4 linked regions of the Saccharomyces cerevisiae S288C genome follow. The gene in region 1 interacts genetically with each later gene. Each region holds a gene or a part of one and is shown in the gene's direction. Other genes may lie near its edges.

What was found.
Region 2: of PEX34 (region 1) and AGC1, extra expression of one rescues a mutant of the other (dosage rescue), as found in Saccharomyces cerevisiae (one study listed by BioGRID).
Region 3: of PEX34 (region 1) and PEX25, changing one suppresses a phenotype caused by changing the other (phenotypic suppression), as found in Saccharomyces cerevisiae (3 studies listed by BioGRID).
Region 4: mutations in PEX34 (region 1) and RRP1 together harm fitness more than expected from each alone (negative genetic interaction), as found in Saccharomyces cerevisiae (2 studies listed by BioGRID).

What each region holds. Positions count from the first base shown.
Region 1 is NC_001135.5:24,519-29,206, reverse strand, and holds PEX34 (Pex34p), read left to right. Parts: upstream 1-1,847; coding exon 1,848-2,282; downstream 2,283-4,688. Other genes in the region: KAR4 (Kar4p), read right to left, coding at 271-1,278; PRD1 (metalloendopeptidase), read right to left, coding at 2,301-4,439. UniProt on the Saccharomyces cerevisiae protein: In concert with the three peroxisome divisional factors, PEX11, PEX25 and PEX27, controls peroxisome morphology and abundance under conditions of peroxisome proliferation. Maintains mature peroxisomes in actively dividing cells.
Region 2 is NC_001148.4:598,971-606,489, reverse strand, and holds AGC1 (citrin), read left to right. Parts: upstream 1-3,132; coding exon 3,133-5,841; downstream 5,842-7,519. Other genes in the region: SDD4 (Sdd4p), read left to right, coding at 1-2,579; ATP20 (F1F0 ATP synthase subunit g), read right to left, coding at 6,273-6,620; MCM DNA helicase complex subunit MCM4, read right to left, coding at 6,939-7,519. UniProt on the Saccharomyces cerevisiae protein: Calcium-dependent mitochondrial aspartate and glutamate carrier. Transport of glutamate in mitochondria is required for mitochondrial transamination reactions and ornithine synthesis.
Region 3 is NC_001148.4:335,597-341,776, reverse strand, and holds PEX25 (Pex25p), read left to right. Parts: upstream 1-3,156; coding exon 3,157-4,341; downstream 4,342-6,180. Other genes in the region: GDE1 (glycerophosphocholine phosphodiesterase), read left to right, coding at 1-709; CAR1 (arginase), read right to left, coding at 832-1,833; YPL113C (glyoxylate reductase), read left to right, coding at 4,634-5,824. UniProt on the Saccharomyces cerevisiae protein: Required for regulation of peroxisome size and maintenance. Has a role in the import of peroxisomal matrix proteins. Imports RHO1 into the peroxisome. Also promotes peroxisome division and biogenesis.
Region 4 is NC_001136.10:616,970-619,864, reverse strand, and holds RRP1 (Rrp1p), read left to right. Parts: upstream 1-1,558; coding exon 1,559-2,395; downstream 2,396-2,895. Other genes in the region: mRNA splicing protein SLU7, read left to right, coding at 220-1,368; translocon subunit SSS1, read left to right, coding at 2,695-2,895. UniProt on the Saccharomyces cerevisiae protein: Required for 27S rRNA processing to 25S and 5.8S.

The sequences.
Region 1 (4,688 bases):
GAAAAAGTGAACACGCTAGAACACGAAAAGACAAAAAAGAAAAATGGAAAAAACAGAGGAAAATCAAGTAGAATAATGTTTATTTACCTTTCACTCAACTGTATCTTTTTGTTTATTTACTTTTCGAGTTTGCATAATTGTACTGAATCAATCCTTGCGCAATTTGGTTTTGAGAAGAGTTTCCAGTAAAATAAAATGCAAAATTATTGTTTATATACTTATTTACTAGTATATTTAATTGAGCTAAGCAAGGATTTATGTGTTGATGCTTTATTGTGCTTTTTGTACTGGACTTCTTGGTCTTAACAGCTCAATCTCATTTTTTAATGGGATATTCGAACCTAAATTAGCTATCTCTTCTTTATATCTCTTGGGTGAGAAGTTATCCAACATAACATCTGGGCTCACTATAACCCAGCCAGGTCTTACTTTGACGGGTGTCTCGTAACCAGTCCTTGCAGGAATAATATGTAATCGTCTAGTCGCGGTAGAGAAGTTTTCTGCAATACGATACAAATGGGATGGTACAGCACCATTAGTGGTGTCCTTCGTTTCGATACTCAAGTCAGTGTCTACGTTACAATGAATAAGATGTCCATCTGTAGACCTCCTTACTGTACCTGTGATACACATCCAACAGTGCCATTGCATTTTTTCCATCAACGTTTCATCGTCCTGATCTAAACCTGGATAAAACGGTGATTTCTTGTCAATAGGAACAAAAACCAATTCTTCACTTCTTCTAAACTTTTTAGCCCATATTTCATTATTCAAAAGTTTAGTAAGTTCATTGATTTTTTGAGAATTGGCCCAGATGAACAGGAAACCTGGTTTGGAGATCAATCTATCCAATGGCAATTGGGTTAAAATTGGGTAAATAAACTGATTTTCTGTTAAGCAGCCAATCATCACCACGTCGAAAGTCAAATTTTCGTTCTGTATCCAGTGATTCAACGTTGGAACAATGGAATCTATTCCGATTTTACACCCAAATGGCGTAGTGGCAAATTGATTTATTTGTTTAGCTTTCGCCTGAAATAATTTCTGAAGTTTTGGATAGCCATCAACCCTATTCTCAATATTAGTAACATGCTGTTGCGGTAGCGACTTCCCATGAATGTAGTTATTCGAGTAATCGTTTGTATGGAAGTCTCTAGAGGGTTTGAATGATACGTGTTTAGATTTCATTTCTATTGTTTCCTGGTTTGGCCCTTGCAAGTGACTGTTGTTGATGTGTCTGCTTTTATTCTGGTCGTAAGTTGGATCTTGGAATGCCATCTTAATAGTATTCTCACTTCTCTTTTGTTTTATAATGGCTGTTCTACTTTCTTCTATGTCATAATATTTAACAAAAAGTCGCACTTGAAAAGTTGAAACAAGTTATGTCGCAAGATGAAACTCGGAAATGACGAAGTGTGAAACAAGACTACAGAGCGACAAAAACCAAGCTGCAAATATACAGTAATGAAACTGAAAATATGTCCAGCAAAACTAAAATTGTTTGAGCTCGATACTAACTTCCTTCTTTTTTTTTTTTTTTTTTTTTTTACTTTTGGCTATCCTATTGTAAACGCTGTTTTACCCTTTTGCAAAGCATTTGATCACAAGATATATCCCAAAAACTATTTTTTGACTTAAGGCATTAAGAGGAGATAAGGCTCCTAATGTCACATCCAAAAGCCAAAGTATGGGACAAGCATTTCGCCCCTTTGCTCTTATTGCTTCTTGTTAAGTAGAAAGGGTAATTATAATCGAAAAATTCGCGGGAAATGATTTCAATGTTCGACTCTGAGGTAAGAAGTAAAGAGGAGATGAATAAAAGTAAAGGAAGAAGAAAAGAAAGTTGAATGGTTTCGAAGAAAAATACGGCTGAAATCAGTGCAAAAGATATATGGGAGAATATATGGAGTGGTGTAAGTTCGCTGCTTGATTTCTTCGCAGTATTGGAAAACCTAGGCGTGGTCAACGATAAGTTATATGTAAGTGGGCTATTACGGAAAGTTTGGCTGTGTTACTCGTGCATTTCAGTGATAAAATGTGTATGGAAATTAATAAAATTATGCAAGGTGAAATTTAAAATCGATCAACGATTGGATGGGGAGGGAAATGGTCTAGTAAAGGATAAGTTGATAAACTTCAAGAAAAAATATAACGAACATATCAGACATATTACTGCTGCTTTACTCCAAGATTTGAGCTATTTAATGGTTTTAATCTATCCAGGGACGAGGTTATTTAAAAGATTATCTAACATAATAACACTTTGTAGAATAATTGTATAATTTTATGCTTGAACGAATTTAGTTCTGTAAGCCCAGCTCCTTCAAGAAAGCATCCTTAGAAGGTTCCCTACCCAAAAATTCTTTCAGATTATCATTAATATCATAAAGGCCACCACGAGCCAACACAATATCACGGTATTGTATCCCATTCTTGGCATTTAACGGATCCTTAGCGAATTTGGTGTGATACATATCAGTTGCAAAGACTTCCGCCCATAGATAACCGTAATAACCGGCAGAGTAAGAGTCTGACATTATATGGCCAAATGAATCATAACCCTTGGATAACGTACCACCATTAGAAATCAAAGAAATATCCTGTCTCAATTGGTTCCAGGTATCGCAAATTGACAGGTTTTGCAAGTCTTTACAAGTATGTACTTTCATATCAAATAACCCAAAATGTAATTGTCTTAGAGTGAATAAAGCACCATTTACGTGTTTAGTTTTGATCAATGAATTGATCAAAGATTCTGGAATTTTTTCGCCCGTTTTGTAATGTGATGAGAGGTTGATTAATTCATTCTTATTCCAAGTCCAAAATTCTAACATTTGGGAAGGTGCCTCCACAAAATCCCATGGAACAGATCCGGGGCCATTAAACCTCGATTCCTTGTTTTGTCCCACCAGGTCATGGATACCATGGCCCAATTCATGGAAAAAGGTCACTATTTCGTTATGCTTCAGTAGAGAAGGTTTATCCTTCGTAGATTTGGAGAAATTGCAAACCAACGCAGTAACCGGATACGATCTTGTGGTGTCATCAATCATGAATGATGACGATAAACCAAAATTGGCAGCGTGGCCATATTTACCATCACGAGGATGTAAATCGAAATAAATCCAACCAACAAAGTTTGGAGACTTTGGATCATCCATATTCCAAACGGCGATTTGTTTGACGTCGTCATGCCAAACAGATTTGTTTTGAGAATCTTTCGTCTCGATAAACTTCAAATTAAACAATGTTTCGTATATTTCCAGCATACCAGTAATCGTAGCCTCTAGTGGAAAATATTCAGAAATCTTTTCTAGGTCCACATTGAAGTTTTCTAACAAATATTTGTTATCGTAGTAACGGTGGTCCCAAATGTAGTAGTTTGGATCTGCACCCTGGTTAAGTTTCTTAACATCTTCGGCTTTCATATCTTGCAAGACCTGTAGTTCCTTTCTGCCCAGCGGAATTAGCTTGTCCTTCAAATCATTCAAAAAGTTCATTACCGTAGTGCTATCTTCAGCCATTTTATCATACAGGTTGTAGTTCGCATACGTGTCATAGCCCAATAACGAGGCCAATTCGTCACGCAGCTTCAATGTATCCAACAGTATAGCTTCATTTTCAGGGACCTTATTTTGGTCGGCCAAAAAGGCCTGCTTTCTAGTCTGAGCTGAGGATGCCAATTTCATCACGGGAAAAATGTCCGGATATTTGAAGGTGACTTTATACAAGGTTTCATTGCTATCTTTGTCAGATTTTATTGTCTCGAACTGCGTCAAAATAGAATCCGGCACACCTTCCAATTGTTCTTTGGTGAAAGTGATGTATTCCTTTTGTTCTCCCAGATTCTTCGAAAAATTAATAGAGTTAACGGAGATCTTCTTTTTGATCTCTTTGATTTTCAATCGGTTTCCCTCGTCAAGTTCCAAACCAGAATGAATGTAGTCCTTGTAAGACTTCTCAACGTATTTGAAAGTTTCTCTTTCCACAGAATCTGCCTTCGATTGAACATCCTGCCAGACGCGGGCGAATTGCAAAAAGATGTCGTGACGCAGAGATAGATCGATGTTCAACTCATCCAGTTTCATTGAGGAGTTCACAGATGCGTCCCTAATTTCTTTATCAGACGACACATGCTGTAAGAAAGTTAATTGGTTAATTATTGGGCCCAATTCATTTTCAAACTTCATGAAAGGCTCCACAAAATTACTCACGGAAGGGCTCTCTACCTTACTCATAGAATCATAGAAATTGTTGCTGTTGTTGATGATTTCGTTGGTTTTCCCACTAATATCGCTGGGAGTGAACGACCAATTAGGCGGGGCCTGGGGAGCAATAGGGAAACTAGTAGTGTTAGCCATTGAATATAAGGAGCGGGTATACAGTAGTGGTGAGATTACAGGTGACGCAAACCAATTCTTGCACAGCAACAATCGCATCTCCAAGTATTCCCTCTATTTTTAAACTCAAATCCAACCATTCCTTCCTATTTACCTAGTTCTTATTTTCGTATAAAAAAGGTGGCAAAAAATCCAGATTTAACCGCCGTCACGCTCGTGCAGCGCGATACTACAGTTATTGTGTAGTAGCTGCATATAAGGTAGTCAACCTCATACATAGCTAGGTGACATGTATACTGGAGCATTTGGGAGATGATTATTAGCCCAAATATAAGGTATATACAGTAC
Region 2 (7,519 bases), on another chromosome or scaffold:
GTAGTTCATATCAGCAGCCACTCCAGCCACTTACCCAGGATCAACAACAGGAACAGTACTTTCAGCAGCAAAAGCTTGCCCAACAGCAACAGCAACAGCAACAGCAACAACAACAACAACAACAATTACCACCCCAGAATCCATTTGGAGATCCATTAACATCTTCCTCTAGCGGTGCTAATTTGTCAGTTATGCAGGACCTTTTTTCTACAAATTTTTTGAACAGCGACCCATTACAATCTTTCATGCAAGAACTTTCTGAAGCCCCGCAAGTAAGTATTGAAGATACATTTTCTGACAAGAATACAATCCCACCTAATGAAAAACCTGTTCAACAAGACGAAGGGTTCCAGAATCCTCCAGTTATGTTTGAGTTACCACAAGATAACATTAAAATTCCCAAAGCACAACCGAAGTTCAACGATAACCCCAGTACTTCAGTGAAGGACAATCTTTCCAGTCAGAAGCTTAATATCAACGAGCTAAAACGGAGATCATCTAAAGATTCAGGAGTAGGAAACAATTCCTCTCTGAACTACAAGGAACAGTTGCGTCACTCTATGAAAAGTGTCCCGTCATTTTTCCATCCGGATCCCTTAACAAAGTATAAGATATCAAAAGAAAAATGTCAAGAAATGTTTTCATTTGTTCCAGAATTACGCTATGTCTCTATTGAATCTATACACAAATCGTTAAAATCCTTCTGGTTGAACTTCCATCCACAATACGGTCTGCTTCACAAACCCTCTTTTCACGTTGATAAACAGCCTGCAATTTTGAATTTGGCACTAATTATGACTGGCGCAAGTTTTTTGGGAAGCGAGTATCGTGAACAGATTAGTGACCCAATTTGTGGTCCTCTAAGATGGATAATTTTTTCTCATGCTGATTTTCAACCACCTTCTAAAACCTACATCATTCAAAGTTTATTATTAGTCGAAGGATATGAAAAAACAAGTACGAACAGGTATTTACATGAAAGGTCTTTTTTACATCACGGAACGACCATTCAATTGCTAAGGCGAACGCCCTCTTTAGGCGGCCATCCCTTAATGGTCAAAACCGGCAAAACCTCTGGGGAAAATTCAATTCAAGACCCACAAGAAGTTTATAAAAGATGGATTGATTTTGAAATGTTGAAAAGAATAGCTTTCTACGCATTTTATATGGACACTACACATGCTGTAGTGTTTGGATACTGGAATTTATTTATTAATAGCAATCAGATTCAACTAACTTTACCCTGTCCAGATCAAGTGTGGGAATCTTATGATTTGAGCTATGAAACTCTGATGGAGCATGGGTATGGCAGCACAAAGAGAGATGAGAATAATACATTTTTGTCTGCGTTAATGCAATTAATGAAAAATGTCATTCAAATCTTACGAAATAATAATATACGGAGAAACAAAGTCAACAATGGTGGAATAGAGAGTACCCCTACAGACTTGGAAAGCACTACAGATTGGAATATTCAGAGTCTTTTTGGTAAAAAGATTCTTTTGGCGGGGATAATTTCGATCTTATTTCAATGTCAAGAGGAAGTTAATGGTGACTATTTCATTACTAACTTTAGGGGCGGAATCACTGATCATTTAGGCCTTTCATGGAAAGATATTTTATCATTTGCAATGAACTATTGGCTTCACGAAGTTCAGAAAAGCTGCACTGATCCGAAAGCATGTAGGATAAGTACTCCATCTGAGGAGACACTAACGAACAGAAAAATTGACGAGGATAATGGAGATGGACTATGTGATGATGATTTGGACTTGCTTTCCTCCGATAATCCGTCAAATTGTAAAATTCCCGTTATTCATATCTCTCAAATTGTCCTACGTATTCTTCATCATGATTATTACATATATGCAGGAGCACCTTGGAGAATGAATGTACCAATTGGTCGCGATGAATATGACATGATCAGTCGCAGGATTCTCCAGTTCGCTAAGGACCCCTACAATGGGGGTGTAGCTGTAGTCTATGCCTTCCAGTTCTTATTTGAAATGTTTATCATTAAGGAAAATAACGTTCCAACCGTAGTGAAGAGCTACAATATAAATTCTGATCCTGTGATTACTAGACCCTATGCGATTGCATTAACTTCACTCCTAATTTGGTCTTGTAATTTTGCATTACATGGCTGTGAAGTTAGCATATGGGATAATACAGAAGCCTCAAAGGATGAATGCTTTCAACCAGATGACAGCAATGGTGGAAACATTCTAGGCAATACTGATAATAATGGATCGACGATTGCAAACAACAATTTAAAGGAAAAGAACAATTACATTCCAATAGAAAGTTTTGAAGTTTACCTATTGAGAATGTATCGGAACTTATATGTGGATAGCTCACTCGATGTAGTTAGCTTTCAGAATGACGTTTGGGCAAAAGCGAGTTTACTTCAACATATTTCTAATACCCACTTTCTATGCGGGATGATGCAGTTTATGAGAGATATTTTCAACAAGAGCTACTGGGATTTAGGGCGCGAATTCGGAAAACTCTTCGATAATTGTTTGGAAAGGAGCCTAGGGAAAACGTCACCCACTTGTCATAACATGTTTGATGTTTAGTTTATATTCGTATATTGGTAAATCATCATATTTATTGTTAGATTAATGAAATGGTTATGAAAACATTTGTAAACTGCCAGCTGTGAAATTGTTAAATAAAATCGACACTGTATATAATTGCGCTTCATATTTTACATGTAAGTATGATCTATGTTTTACGTAGGAGAAAGAGCTTTCTTTATTGGTCATCCCACTGCAAGCGGTTATGAAAAATTTCTGCAGCATCGCTTTAGGGGAGTACTGCCGGCATGTTGGAAAAACATCTCGAAACATATATTGAATCTCAGAATTAACCAGTATTCGAAGCAAAGAAAAAAATATTTCGAAGATAGATAAATACCTCAAGACGAACCTGTCTTTTATATGTTAAGATTTGATATCTAATCTCACCAGACTTTCAAGTTTTATCTCACAACCTCGCGTTTGCCATAATTTTCGAAGTAGCCTGATCCCTTCTTTGTGAACATATTTCACTGGAAAAGTACATAACTTTCATAGCGTAGTTTGAAAGTATGCAGCTTTGCTACCGACCTTAAAGAATTATTATACTATTATGGAGCAAATCAATTCGAACAGTAGAAAAAAGAAGCAACAATTGGAAGTATTCAAATATTTTGCAAGTGTCCTTACAAAAGAGGACAAGCCTATTAGTATCAGTAATGGTATGTTAGATATGCCGACAGTGAACTCCAGTAAACTCACAGCAGGAAATGGGAAACCTGACACGGAGAAGCTTACAGGAGAACTAATTTTAACATACGACGATTTCATTGAACTGATATCTAGCTCAAAGACTATTTATTCGAAGTTTACGGACCATTCGTTCAATTTGAACCAGATACCCAAGAACGTTTTCGGGTGTATTTTCTTCGCTATTGATGAACAAAACAAGGGATATCTGACGCTTAATGATTGGTTTTATTTTAATAATTTATTAGAATATGATAATTATCATCTCATTATTCTATATGAGTTCTTTAGGAAATTTGATGTAGAGAATTTGAAGGCAAAACAAAAAAAAGAGCTTGGTAGTTCGTCGTTTAATTTAAAGGCTGCAGATGATCGAATTAAGTCAATTAATTATGGTAACAGATTTCTAAGCTTTGATGATCTTCTTTTGAATCTGAACCAATTCAAAGATACTATCCGCCTGTTGCACGAATCTATTGATGATAATTTTGTTAAAGATAACAAATTACTACTTGATTGGAATGACTTTCGATTTCTGAAATTTTACAAATGTTATCATGAAAATGAAGAGTATTTGAGTTTAAACTCTCTGGTCACGATTTTACAAAATGATCTTAAGAATGAAAAAATATTTATAGGTTTTGATAGGTTGGCACAGATGGACTCACAAGGGCATCGTTTAGCCCTAAGCAAAAATCAACTCACCTATCTTCTAAGGTTATTTTACTCTCACAGGGTGTCTGCAGATATATTTTCCTCCTTGAATCTATCAAACACCGAATTACTAAAAGCGGACAATAATTCCATTCCGTACAATGTATTCAAGGATATATTTTATTTATTTCAAAATTTTGACCTACTGAACCAAATATTTCACAAGTATGTTACTGAAAATAATTTGAATGAGCAGGATATTAGGGAACAAATAGTTACTAAAAATGACTTTATGACAGTTTTAAACGCCCAGTATAACAAAGTAAACAATATCATTGAGTTCTCTCCTTCCCAAATCAACCTACTATTTTCTATCGTCGCAAATTCAAAGGAAAACAGAAGATTAAGAAAGAGAAATCAAGATCGAGATGACGAGCTATTAAATGATCACCATTATGATTCAGATATTGATTTTTTTATCCATAATGAGTATTTGCATGGAGTAAGCAGATCCAGAAAAAATTTAGAAAGTTTTAATGACTATTATCATGATCTCTCGGATGGATTTGACCAAGACTCTGGTGTTAAAAAAGCTTCAAAAGCGAGTACTGGCTTGTTTGAATCTGTATTTGGAGGTAAAAAAGATAAAGCAACGATGCGTTCTGACTTAACAATTGAAGATTTCATGAAAATTTTGAACCCAAATTACCTGAACGACTTAGTTCACCAAATGGAATTGCAAAAAAATCAAAATGAGTCATTGTATATTAATTACTACTTTTATCCAATTTTCGATTCGTTGTACAATTTCTCCTTGGGTTCTATTGCGGGTTGTATTGGTGCAACTGTAGTATACCCAATAGACTTTATAAAAACAAGGATGCAAGCCCAAAGATCTTTAGCCCAATACAAAAACTCAATTGATTGTTTGTTGAAGATTATATCCCGCGAAGGAATAAAAGGTCTCTACTCTGGCTTAGGGCCACAATTAATAGGAGTTGCTCCTGAAAAGGCGATAAAATTGACTGTCAATGATTTTATGAGAAACAGGTTGACTGATAAAAACGGCAAGCTAAGCCTTTTTCCTGAAATTATTTCTGGCGCTTCAGCTGGTGCATGTCAAGTTATATTTACTAATCCGTTAGAGATTGTAAAAATTAGGCTACAGGTCCAATCCGACTATGTTGGTGAAAACATACAACAAGCCAATGAAACTGCCACTCAAATAGTCAAAAAATTAGGACTGAGGGGCTTGTACAATGGTGTAGCCGCATGTTTAATGAGAGATGTTCCATTCTCTGCTATTTATTTTCCCACTTATGCACATTTAAAAAAAGATCTCTTTGATTTTGATCCAAATGATAAAACAAAGAGGAATCGATTAAAAACATGGGAGCTTTTAACTGCCGGTGCCATTGCTGGTATGCCAGCTGCCTTCTTGACTACTCCTTTTGATGTTATAAAAACAAGGCTCCAGATAGATCCTCGAAAAGGTGAGACAAAGTATAACGGTATATTTCATGCTATCCGAACTATCTTAAAGGAAGAGAGCTTTAGAAGCTTTTTCAAAGGTGGTGGAGCCCGTGTCCTAAGAAGTTCTCCCCAATTTGGGTTCACTCTGGCCGCCTATGAATTATTCAAGGGCTTTATTCCCTCCCCCGATAACAAATTAAAAAGCAGAGAGGGTAGGAAGAGATTTTGTATCGATGACGACGCAGGCAATGAAGAGACAGTAGTTCATAGTAACGGTGAACTCCCACAGCAAAAGTTTTACTCTGATGATAGAAAACATGCCAATTATTACTATAAAAGCTGTCAAATTGCGAAAACATTCATTGATTTGGACAATAACTTTTCTAGGTTTGACTCTTCAGTTTATAAAAACTTTCAAGAGCACCTAAGAAGCATTAACGGGTGATTTATTTTCTTCGTCAGTTTCTCTGTACATATATATGTATATATTTACTTATTATAATTCATAGCAAAATATATGTTTTTTTTTTTTTCTTATAGTGAGAAAAATTACTAATGATCCTGAGATCAATTTCACTGTAGTTTTTACTATAGTGCAACAAGTATGTTGTTCTTAATAAGTGTAATGAAAGCTCTGAGGTCAAGTTTTCTTTTTTACAGAAAAGTTATATTGGCCTATTTCATAAATAACTGGCGGCAAGAAGCTAATGTAATATAACTCGATATCGCTTTTAATGCCATTGTATGTCATGAAAAGAAAATAAATAGAATTGAGATGAATATATATTCTTTTTTCTAGTTTTGTTCTATTTGTACATTGATTTAATTTAATTAACGAATATACAAGGGTTTTGCGAATAGATAGAATTAAAAAGCTTAGTGATGTTTATATCCCACTAATTTTCTTCTTCCAATTATTTCACCGACAGAATAAAACCCTATCAACTGAATACCATATGCGCCATATTTTAATAGTTCATTCTTTTGGATGTTTTTTAAACACGATAAAACTTCTGTAGGCTTTAGAGCAAAGTTTAGGCTCTGCTTATAAAGGTTCGAATACACTGATTTGAACTGGGCAACAGTTGGTGGTTGAAGACCCTCTTTTAAATAAATCTGTTTTGAAATCTCGGCACCGACTTTACCATAGTATAAAGCCTTTGATGACAAAAGATTTGCTTTAGAAACCAACCCACTGGTATAATTTTGGATCCTGCTTAGCATGATGAATTGATTAGCGTTCTGAAATATGATTTATCGGCAGGTTTATCTTGTCGATTTGGACTGGAGTAGAAAATATGAGGGATCTTTGCATCTTCATTTTTCGGTCTTTAAATGTAATCATCCTTCGGGATAAATTTAGTGCGTTTAACAATATTTTCTTTCAGCCAATCAGGAATAAGAAAAAAGCCGCCCACTCAATCGAGCCTACATACAGTATTGAATAGTGTTACAAAGCATAAGGATGTAAAAAATACAAACTTGCTATAATTAATTAGTATTTATTAATTGTTACGCAGGGAATGATTGTAGTAGACAGCATCAGACACGGTTATTCAGGCGAACTGATCTCCTTACACCCTCGCCAAGGACAATGACCTTGTCCTCTTGTTGCAATCTTGACAAGGCTTCCTGGATATCAGAAGACTCAACTCTATCTTGAGAGTGTTCATTGATTTGTTTTATAAGCTCATTGAATGACATTGAGTCTGATGCCTGATCCTTCAAAACATTCATAATTTCCCTTGACAAATCCTCCTGTAGTTTTCTCTGAATAACTGATTTACCTGTTTGAACTAAATTCATGTCGATTTTACCGGTTTTAGGGTCTGTTGCATAATCTTTTATGGCTGATCTAATTAATCTAACGGCTTCTTGAACATCCTCCAGCTCTACGACGTTTTTCAATTTCATTTTGGCGTGCGCCTCAGCCAAACGAATCATACTTTCAAGTTGTCTTGTGGTAGCTGTGATTCTCTTCTCATCGGATCTCGAATCGTCACCCATCTTTCTCATTCCTACATAAGCACGAACAAGCTCAGTCTTAGCGGCCTCGGTGATTATTGGGTGTATGTGCTCCTTTGCATAACTAATATACATCGTTAAAAATTCAACTGGTAGCA
Region 3 (6,180 bases), on another chromosome or scaffold:
CGTTAGTACATTGAGGAGAGCTTGGGATTTACACGACAACGACCCGAATGGGAAGTCCAACAATGCTCATTGGTCTGACAATCGAATGAGGCTAACCAAAACATTTAAAAAGAACAATTTTAAGGGAAACGCTAGAGGACATTCAATAGCTTCATCATTTGTTACCTTGAAAGAACTATTCAAGAAAATCCCTGCCAACGTTGGGTTTAACATAGAATGTAAGTTTCCCATGCTTGATGAGGCAGAAGAGGAAGAGTTAGGGCAAATAATGATGGAAATGAACCATTGGGTTGACACCGTGTTAAAAGTAGTTTTTGACAATGCGAATGGTAGGGACATCATTTTTTCGTCATTTCATCCGGATATTTGCATCATGCTTTCGTTAAAGCAACCGGTTATTCCGATCTTGTTCCTGACGGAAGGTGGAAGTGAACAGATGGCCGATTTGAGAGCCTCATCGTTACAAAACGGTATAAGATTTGCTAAGAAGTGGAATTTATTGGGGATTGTATCTGCTGCAGCACCCATTTTAAAGGCCCCACGGTTGGTGCAAGTGGTTAAGTCTAATGGGCTGGTATGTGTCACTTACGGTGTGGACAACAATGATCCCGAAAATGCCAGTATACAAATTGAAGCAGGTGTAGATGCCGTGATCGTCGATAGTGTATTGGCAATTAGACGTGGGTTAACCAAAAAGAATGAAAAGTAACGAAGATACACTACTTTTATTTTTAATTTATTTTCTTTTTTTGTTCGTAAATTTATGTATGCATGTGCTTAACTAAAATAAAAAGAGAATGCTTATTTTGATAAAAGGGATGATGATATAAACTACAATAAGGTTTCACCCAATGCACACCTTGCAATGGCGCAACCTGCAGAGATGGTGTTTGAAACATGGATATCATGAATAGCCAGATCAGGGTTACATTCAACAACGTCTAGCGCAATTAAATTACCGGATTCGGCCAATCTTTCCACCAAGAAAAGACCTTCTCTCAAGGTCAACCCACCTCTCACTGGAGTACCTGTAGCAGGAATGTATAATGGGTCTACACCATCGACGTCATAGGAGCACATAATGGGACCTTCACCGTTTGTTTCTGGGTGCACGGCTTTCATTGCCATTTCAATGACAGCGTTGATGCCGTATTTGTCAACGTGGTACATGGAAAAGGCGGCGATACCCAGATCTTTCAAGATTTTCTTTTCTCCGGCATCAACATCTCTCAACCCAATATACGCGATCTTTTTTGGGCTCAAGTTGCCTGGAACCCATTTGAGCGACTCGGGACAATGTGGGACATCCTTGTTCAAACCCATTAGGAATGACACGGGACAGCCGTGCAAGTTTCCAGAGGGGGTGCTTTCTATGGTGTTTATATCAGCGTGGGCGTCTATCCATAAAAGACCAGCATCGGGGTATTTGTCCAAAACCGCGGATACAGTACCAATGGCTATTGAATGATCACCACCCAAGGTCAAGGGGAATCTGTTCGCCTGGACCACTTTCGACACGGAGTTGTACACCAACTTGGTGGCTTCACCAACCAAATCTGCTCTTTTAGCCTTGACACCGTCTATCATAACAGAGGAACCCCCAGTTGTGGAGTCCTTCTCCATTTTCAACTTTCCCACAAATTGGGCCTCGTCCATTGAGGGCTCTAATTCCGTAGACCAGCCCAAATCCTCTATGCTTGTTTGCAGACCATGCTTAAGCATGTATTTAGGGCCCTTCTCGACACCAAGCTTACCCTGACCGCCGCTGAATGGAGCCAGAACGATGGACAATTCGCGATTTTTGTAGTAGTTGTAATGAGGTCCTGTTTCCATCTTGATAGTAGTTATTGTTATTGATATAGTTGTTGTTGTTGTTTCTGCTAACTTTGAGAAAACATATACAGACCAAGAGAAGAGAAACAGTCTTAGATCTTGATAGAAAGTGGGCCGCAAGCTCTGCTTATATACTCTTTAGACCCCTCGGCGGCTACCGCTAAGTGAAAAATTCAGCGAGCGGCGATGCGCTGTTGATTGCCATTAGCAGCACGGTGCTTTGCGAAGGGCAAGAGCTAGAGACTATTCGCACTAGCCGATATTTTCGCGGCGTCTCGGCTTCTTGTAAGGGATAGAAAAAAACTGTTAATGGAAGGAGCAATCAAAGGGCGGGGATCGCGGGCGACGGTGCGGCATCGAAAAAGTGAAGAACCAGTAAAAATAGAGGTGGGGTTTATCAGTGTTGATATCTAAGTTTATGATAAACATTGATGAGTCAGGGATTGCACCCGTAGTTCATCCGTATGATGTGATGTTGTTTGTTTTTGTTTCATGTAAGGTTGCTAGAATAGGGTCCTGTCAGACAGTATGCGTAGCTTTACCATCATTTCGCCGCTATATGTGAAGGGCCGTAAATTGGATATACGGTATGTAAAAATCAGCGGAATATTATGATGAGAAGTGAGAAAATTGAAGTCAGTAATCTTGGATATTCAGAACTGTCAATCCTCAGTTTGGCCAATTTTATTTAATTTGTTAATAGCAGAACTTACCGGGCGGTCCAGTTTTGCCTACACGGTTTGGTATAAAGTTTAAAAAGCATATATACGAGCTAGATGAAGTATCCAATAGAGTTTTTCTCACGATGGTATTGGAATAGCTTCCTTGAAAGGTAACTACATACAGTGTCGAGGAAAAATAGACAATTACTTAAAGGAGTAAATGTTACTATACCTGAAAGAAATTAAGAGTCGCCATGCGTAGCAGTAATCACAACCGACATCGGGGAAGAGTGAGGGGAGCAAATTGGATGTAAATATTTTGGTGAATTTGCTCGGTACGCGCTAAACTCACATGATTTAGCAGCGCCGTGGCGCAGTGGAAGCGCGCAGGGCTCATAACCCTGATGTCCTCGGATCGAAACCGAGCGGCGCTAAATTTATTTTTTTCTTTTTACTCTTCATTTTTTTTCCAGGTCGGTGATAGTATATGAAATTCCGGTGGGATTGGGCTTATTATTTCAGGTTATATAATTTTTGAAATACGTTTTTCTTCTTTCTTCTCAGAATCATCGGTAATTTGTATGCTGGAGAAAGTAACAAATAGAGTCGATATCCTCAACTTCCCTGTAAGTCTTCACCTATAGAAACTGGTCGTAAAACAATGAGTCAGTTTGGCACGACAGATATCGTTTCCGGTTCAGAAACACCACCTTATTCTGGGGCAAGTTACCAGGACGCCCAGGATGACAATACCCATCCACATTCATCAGACGCCGGTGCAGAGAAGTTCAGTGCAGGCAGTGGAAGCGAGTCGCATACTGAATCCTCGAGAAGTGATGATGAGGATTCTCAAGCAAAAACAAAGATGGTGGATAATATTACCATCTTAAAATATATATTGGATTCTCTATCTGGTAGAGACAAATTAGCCAAAATTATCAAATACGCTCTGGATATATTAAAACTGTTTATCGAAAAGTCTAAGCGAAATTTAACTGTTTTGGACCCTTCCGTATTAACGTACTATACCAAGATTTTGAAAAATCTGACTGTAAAAGTCGCACTAAGGCATCCAATCACGGTAATTAAAGTACTTCTCCTGTCTCTTTTGAGAAATTTTGACAAGAAAATTGATTTTATCAGTCAACAATTAAGTACTTTTAGATATATTTTAAGGTTTGGCGGCACACCATTCCGAGTGTGCAGTTTCTTGGGGAAATTCAATAAAACCAGAAAGTGCAACTTTCAAATTGACCAAATTAAGAAAATATGGTTTAATGAAGCTTCATTGAGAGAATTTTTGGACTTGTATTATGGTATCTTTGATGAATTAGACTTGCTATACAAATTGAAAATATGGACAAATAAATCATTCTATTCCTTTGTCAGTAGACAAGAGTCTCTTGCATGGCAATACGACATTCTTTTAAGCTTGAAGGACCATTGGCTCAACCTGCAAAGCTTACAGAAGAGACAATTAGAATTGGAAGTGCAACTAAAAGTTCAAAATAACGCGTTACTACTCTCACCCATACTGATGCATCAGGCCCATAAAGACGATGGCTCACAATCGCCAATTAGGAAACAGTTGTTAAATGACCTAAATGTTAATAACGACGCAGAGGTGTTAATACACAAACAACTAAAGGCCATCAAGGATGAAAAGACACTTGTTTATTTAGATATTGCAAGATTATCGTTTGATTGCATGGCTAATACATCAGATATTCTAAATTTAAAAACTCCAAAGGGAACGTATGCCGTTCTGTCCCTGGGATCCGGCTTAACTGGACTGGTTAAACTTTGGATAACAACAAAGAGGTCACTTTGCTCTTCAAAAGATTGATATATAAAAATATGTATACATATAGATATGTACATATATATGTGGCGAATAATGTTTTACCTCTGCATTTGTATTGTTATTTGATTCGTTGAATAAGATAGTTTGGCGCTCGGTTTTTGCTCTTTTTCTTCCGTTTTTATGTCATTGGGGTGGCGGTAGTCATTCCGTTTTACGGTATGTTTATTCTGACACTTTGACGCAGATCTAAAAGGTGGAGTGTGGAGTACAAATAGCTCTCTCTCAAATACAGAAAAATACTTGAGTGTACAAAAGTAGCAACCTTTAAATAACAATGATTACTTCAATTGACATAGCAGATGTAACTTATTCTGCCAAACCAAGAATTTTGGTGCCTTATAAAACCCAATGGGAAGTCGCCAGTCATCTTCCTGAATATCGCAAACTGGCAGAAAGGGTAGAATTCTATAAATATGAGATGTCCACAAAGGATGATTTTGTTAAATTTTTGGAAACTCATAGAATAAACGGCTTTTGGCTCACTGAGGAGTTTTTCACTGTGTTAGGAAACCCTTCGAGTTATATTGAATTCTTCCCCGCATCTTTAAAAGTAATCCTTGTACCATGGGTCGGCTGTGACTTTATTGACGGTAAGTTATTAAGATCGAAAGGTATCACTTTATGCAACATTGGACCACATGCTGCTGACCATGTCACAGAATTGGCTATTTTCCTAGCAATTAGCTGCTTTAGAATGACTTCATTTTGGGAATATTGTTTTAAATACGTGGAAAATGGTAATGTTGAACAGTGTAAGAAATATATCTCTAGTGACTCGTATGAAATTGTTACAGATAGTTACCACGGTCAGGAAATGAAATTTCCCTCTCGAACAGACAAATGCAAGCCTAACAAGGATAGGAAAGTGGTACATTTAGCAGAAAAGTACACGGTTGGCGGGAAAAAAATGGAATCTCCAATGAATAAAAAAGTTCTAATATTGGGGTTTGGCTCCATCGGACAAAATATAGGGTCTAACTTGCACAAAGTGTTCAACATGAGCATTGAATACTACAAAAGGACCGGTCCCGTCCAAAAGAGTCTACTTGATTACAACGCTAAGTACCATTCTGATCTAGATGATCCAAATACTTGGAAGAATGCGGATTTGATCATTTTGGCCTTGCCCAGTACGGCCTCTACAAACAATATTATCAATCGTAAAAGTTTGGCCTGGTGTAAAGATGGTGTCAGGATAGTTAACGTTGGGAGAGGCACATGCATAGATGAAGATGTGCTACTAGACGCTCTTGAATCTGGAAAAGTGGCAAGCTGTGGTCTCGATGTGTTTAAAAATGAGGAAACACGCGTTAAGCAAGAGTTACTTCGCAGATGGGATGTTACAGCTTTGCCACATATCGGCAGCACAGTTGCCGACATGGTCATAAAGCAGACACTCATCACACTCGAGAATGTGCAGGACATATTTGTCGAGGGAGGTGATGGTAAGTATGTGCTCAACTGAACCATTCATTATGTTACAAAGATAGCATTTCAATTAGGATTACATACGTATATGCATTGCTCTTTATACCACAACTCTAAGAATGTCGAAAGTTATATGGCGGCGGTGATGTTGGAAAAAAAACGCGGCCGTTTTATAAAGAACAATAATCGTCTGACTAGGTAAAGTACCAGATAAGAACCGTTTTTATTGCGCGTATTGGTATGTTTTTTAAACGGAATTTTTCAAGATTGTTAAATACATCAACGATATATCCATTTTAATCACCGTTTACCTTTGTGTGTTAGCTTTGTATCTGGAAGTTTTTTCTCTTTTCTTCTTTGTCCTTGCCTTCTACCATTTTGCCTTTTGTTCGA
Region 4 (2,895 bases), on another chromosome or scaffold:
AGAAGTTGTCGAGTTTTTTTAAAGTACATTTCATTGGAACAACTAGTGACTAGTTCGAACGCGGAAAGACAATAATAGTACCCATAACGATAACTCCTTCGTTATCTATTGAATAGCTTGCCTTTCAAGTAAATCAATAATCAAGTCTGCGTATATCATTTATCGAGCACTTCTGAAAAAGATACCAGTTACACTGAAATACAACGATCGGATTACATAATGAATAATAACAGCAGAAACAACGAAAATCGAAGCACTATTAACAGAAATAAAAGGCAACTACAACAAGCAAAAGAAAAAAATGAAAATATTCATATCCCCAGGTATATTAGAAATCAACCATGGTACTATAAGGATACCCCCAAAGAACAAGAAGGGAAGAAGCCCGGCAATGATGATACGAGCACTGCAGAAGGAGGAGAAAAAAGCGACTACTTGGTGCATCATAGGCAAAAAGCAAAAGGGGGTGCTTTAGATATTGACAATAATTCAGAACCAAAAATTGGTATGGGTATAAAGGATGAGTTCAAACTAATCAGACCCCAGAAGATGTCCGTCCGAGATTCTCATTCGCTGTCATTTTGTAGGAATTGTGGGGAAGCAGGGCATAAGGAGAAAGACTGCATGGAAAAACCTCGTAAGATGCAGAAGCTTGTTCCCGATTTAAATTCACAAAAAAATAATGGCACAGTTTTAGTACGAGCTACTGATGATGACTGGGACTCCAGAAAAGATAGATGGTACGGTTACTCAGGGAAAGAATACAATGAACTGATAAGTAAGTGGGAGCGTGATAAAAGAAATAAAATAAAAGGAAAAGACAAATCCCAAACTGATGAAACACTATGGGATACAGATGAAGAGATAGAACTAATGAAGTTAGAACTTTACAAGGATTCCGTAGGTTCATTGAAGAAAGATGATGCTGATAATTCTCAGTTGTATAGGACATCAACGAGATTGAGAGAAGATAAGGCTGCTTACTTGAACGACATAAATTCAACGGAGAGTAATTATGATCCTAAATCAAGATTGTACAAAACTGAAACACTGGGCGCAGTTGATGAAAAATCAAAAATGTTCCGCAGACATTTGACAGGTGAAGGCCTAAAATTAAACGAATTGAACCAGTTTGCTAGATCTCACGCTAAGGAAATGGGTATACGTGATGAAATTGAGGATAAGGAAAAAGTACAACATGTTTTAGTCGCCAATCCTACTAAATATGAATATCTGAAGAAAAAACGGGAACAAGAAGAAACCAAGCAGCCCAAGATTGTCAGCATTGGAGATCTGGAAGCTAGGAAAGTAGATGGTACAAAGCAATCTGAGGAACAACGGAACCACTTAAAAGATTTATATGGTTAAGTTATATCATTTGAATTTCCAATATCCTAGTCACGGAGCACGAGAGGTAAAGAATTTAGAAAAAAAAATGCGATGAGCTGAAAAAAATTGTCAAATATAAACTACATTCTTAAGTATACGTATATATCTTGCGCATTCACGGCATAATACACTAAATAGACACTTAAAAAATCGAGTGAGAACATTCACAATGGAGACCTCCAACTTTGTTAAACAATTATCGTCGAACAACAGAAAAACCAGGGTAAATGCACTCGAAGCGTTAAAGAAATATCTAACCGCTAAACAGTTCAAGGAGAACAAACAAATAGAATTCAATAAACTTTGGAAGGGTCTTTACTATGCAATGTGGTTCAGTGACCGTCCTAGACCTCAGCAACGTTTAGCCAATGAATTAGGTGAATTGCATGGATTATATTTTGATCCTAAGGACAATAGCACTGCAGATGAGTTGACCACAAACGATAAAGCATTTATAAAGTTTAGCAGAGGGTTTTGGAAGGTCATGTGCTTTGAATGGTTTAACATTGACAGATATAGGTTGGATAAGTATCTTCTATTGATAAGAAGGGTATTATTCAGTCAATTGAAGTATTTGCAGTCCAGAAACTGGGACAAAAAATTAGTCGACGAGTATATTAAGAAAGTGTTGAGGTGGTTACCTCTGAGTGGAAGTCCAAAGGTCTACACAGGGATTCCAATTCATATCGTCGATATTCTGCTGGACGAATGGGAAAGATTGCTTAAAGATGGAGATGAAGACGATGAAGACGAGGAAAACAAAGAGGAAGAGATGCGCAAAATTGCAGAGAGCGCAAAAAAAACGCCACTAGCCGATGTTATCGCAATTTTCCAAGATATCGTGGCAGATTACAATAACAGTAAGGTGTTGAGAGAGAAGATCAAAGAAGACCTATTCAGTGACACCAGACTTGTTTCCTGGGATATTCTTGAAGGCGAAACGCAACATAATGATTCCAGTAACGAATCTGAAGAAGAGGAAGAGGAAGAGTGGAAGGGATTTTGATTCTTCCTGGCGGTAGTATGTAAGTAATCGTAAGTCGCTCATATAAATTGTAGTTGTATATCTATAGTACGAAAAATTCATTACCCTCTGTGGATATTGGCGGAATGCGAAACACGTCGCCTTTTTTTCCTCGCAACATTTTTTTTATTTTTTTTTCGTTTTGAAATGAAAGAATACTAGTGATTAAATTAAACAAGGAAAATAGTACAGATTGGCGTGTATTGTCCATAACTCGTGTCCATTGTCCGCACTACGCTAGTTTACCAAAGATAAAATCACGTATAACATTGAAAAATAAAATGGCTAGAGCTAGTGAAAAAGGTGAAGAGAAAAAGCAGAGCAACAACCAGGTTGAAAAGCTGGTTGAAGCACCTGTAGAATTTGTCAGAGAAGGTACTCAATTCTTGGCCAAGTGTAAGAAACCTGATTTGAAGGAATACACCAAGATTGTCAAGGCTGTTGGTATTGGTTTTATTGCAGTCGGTATCATTGGTTACGCC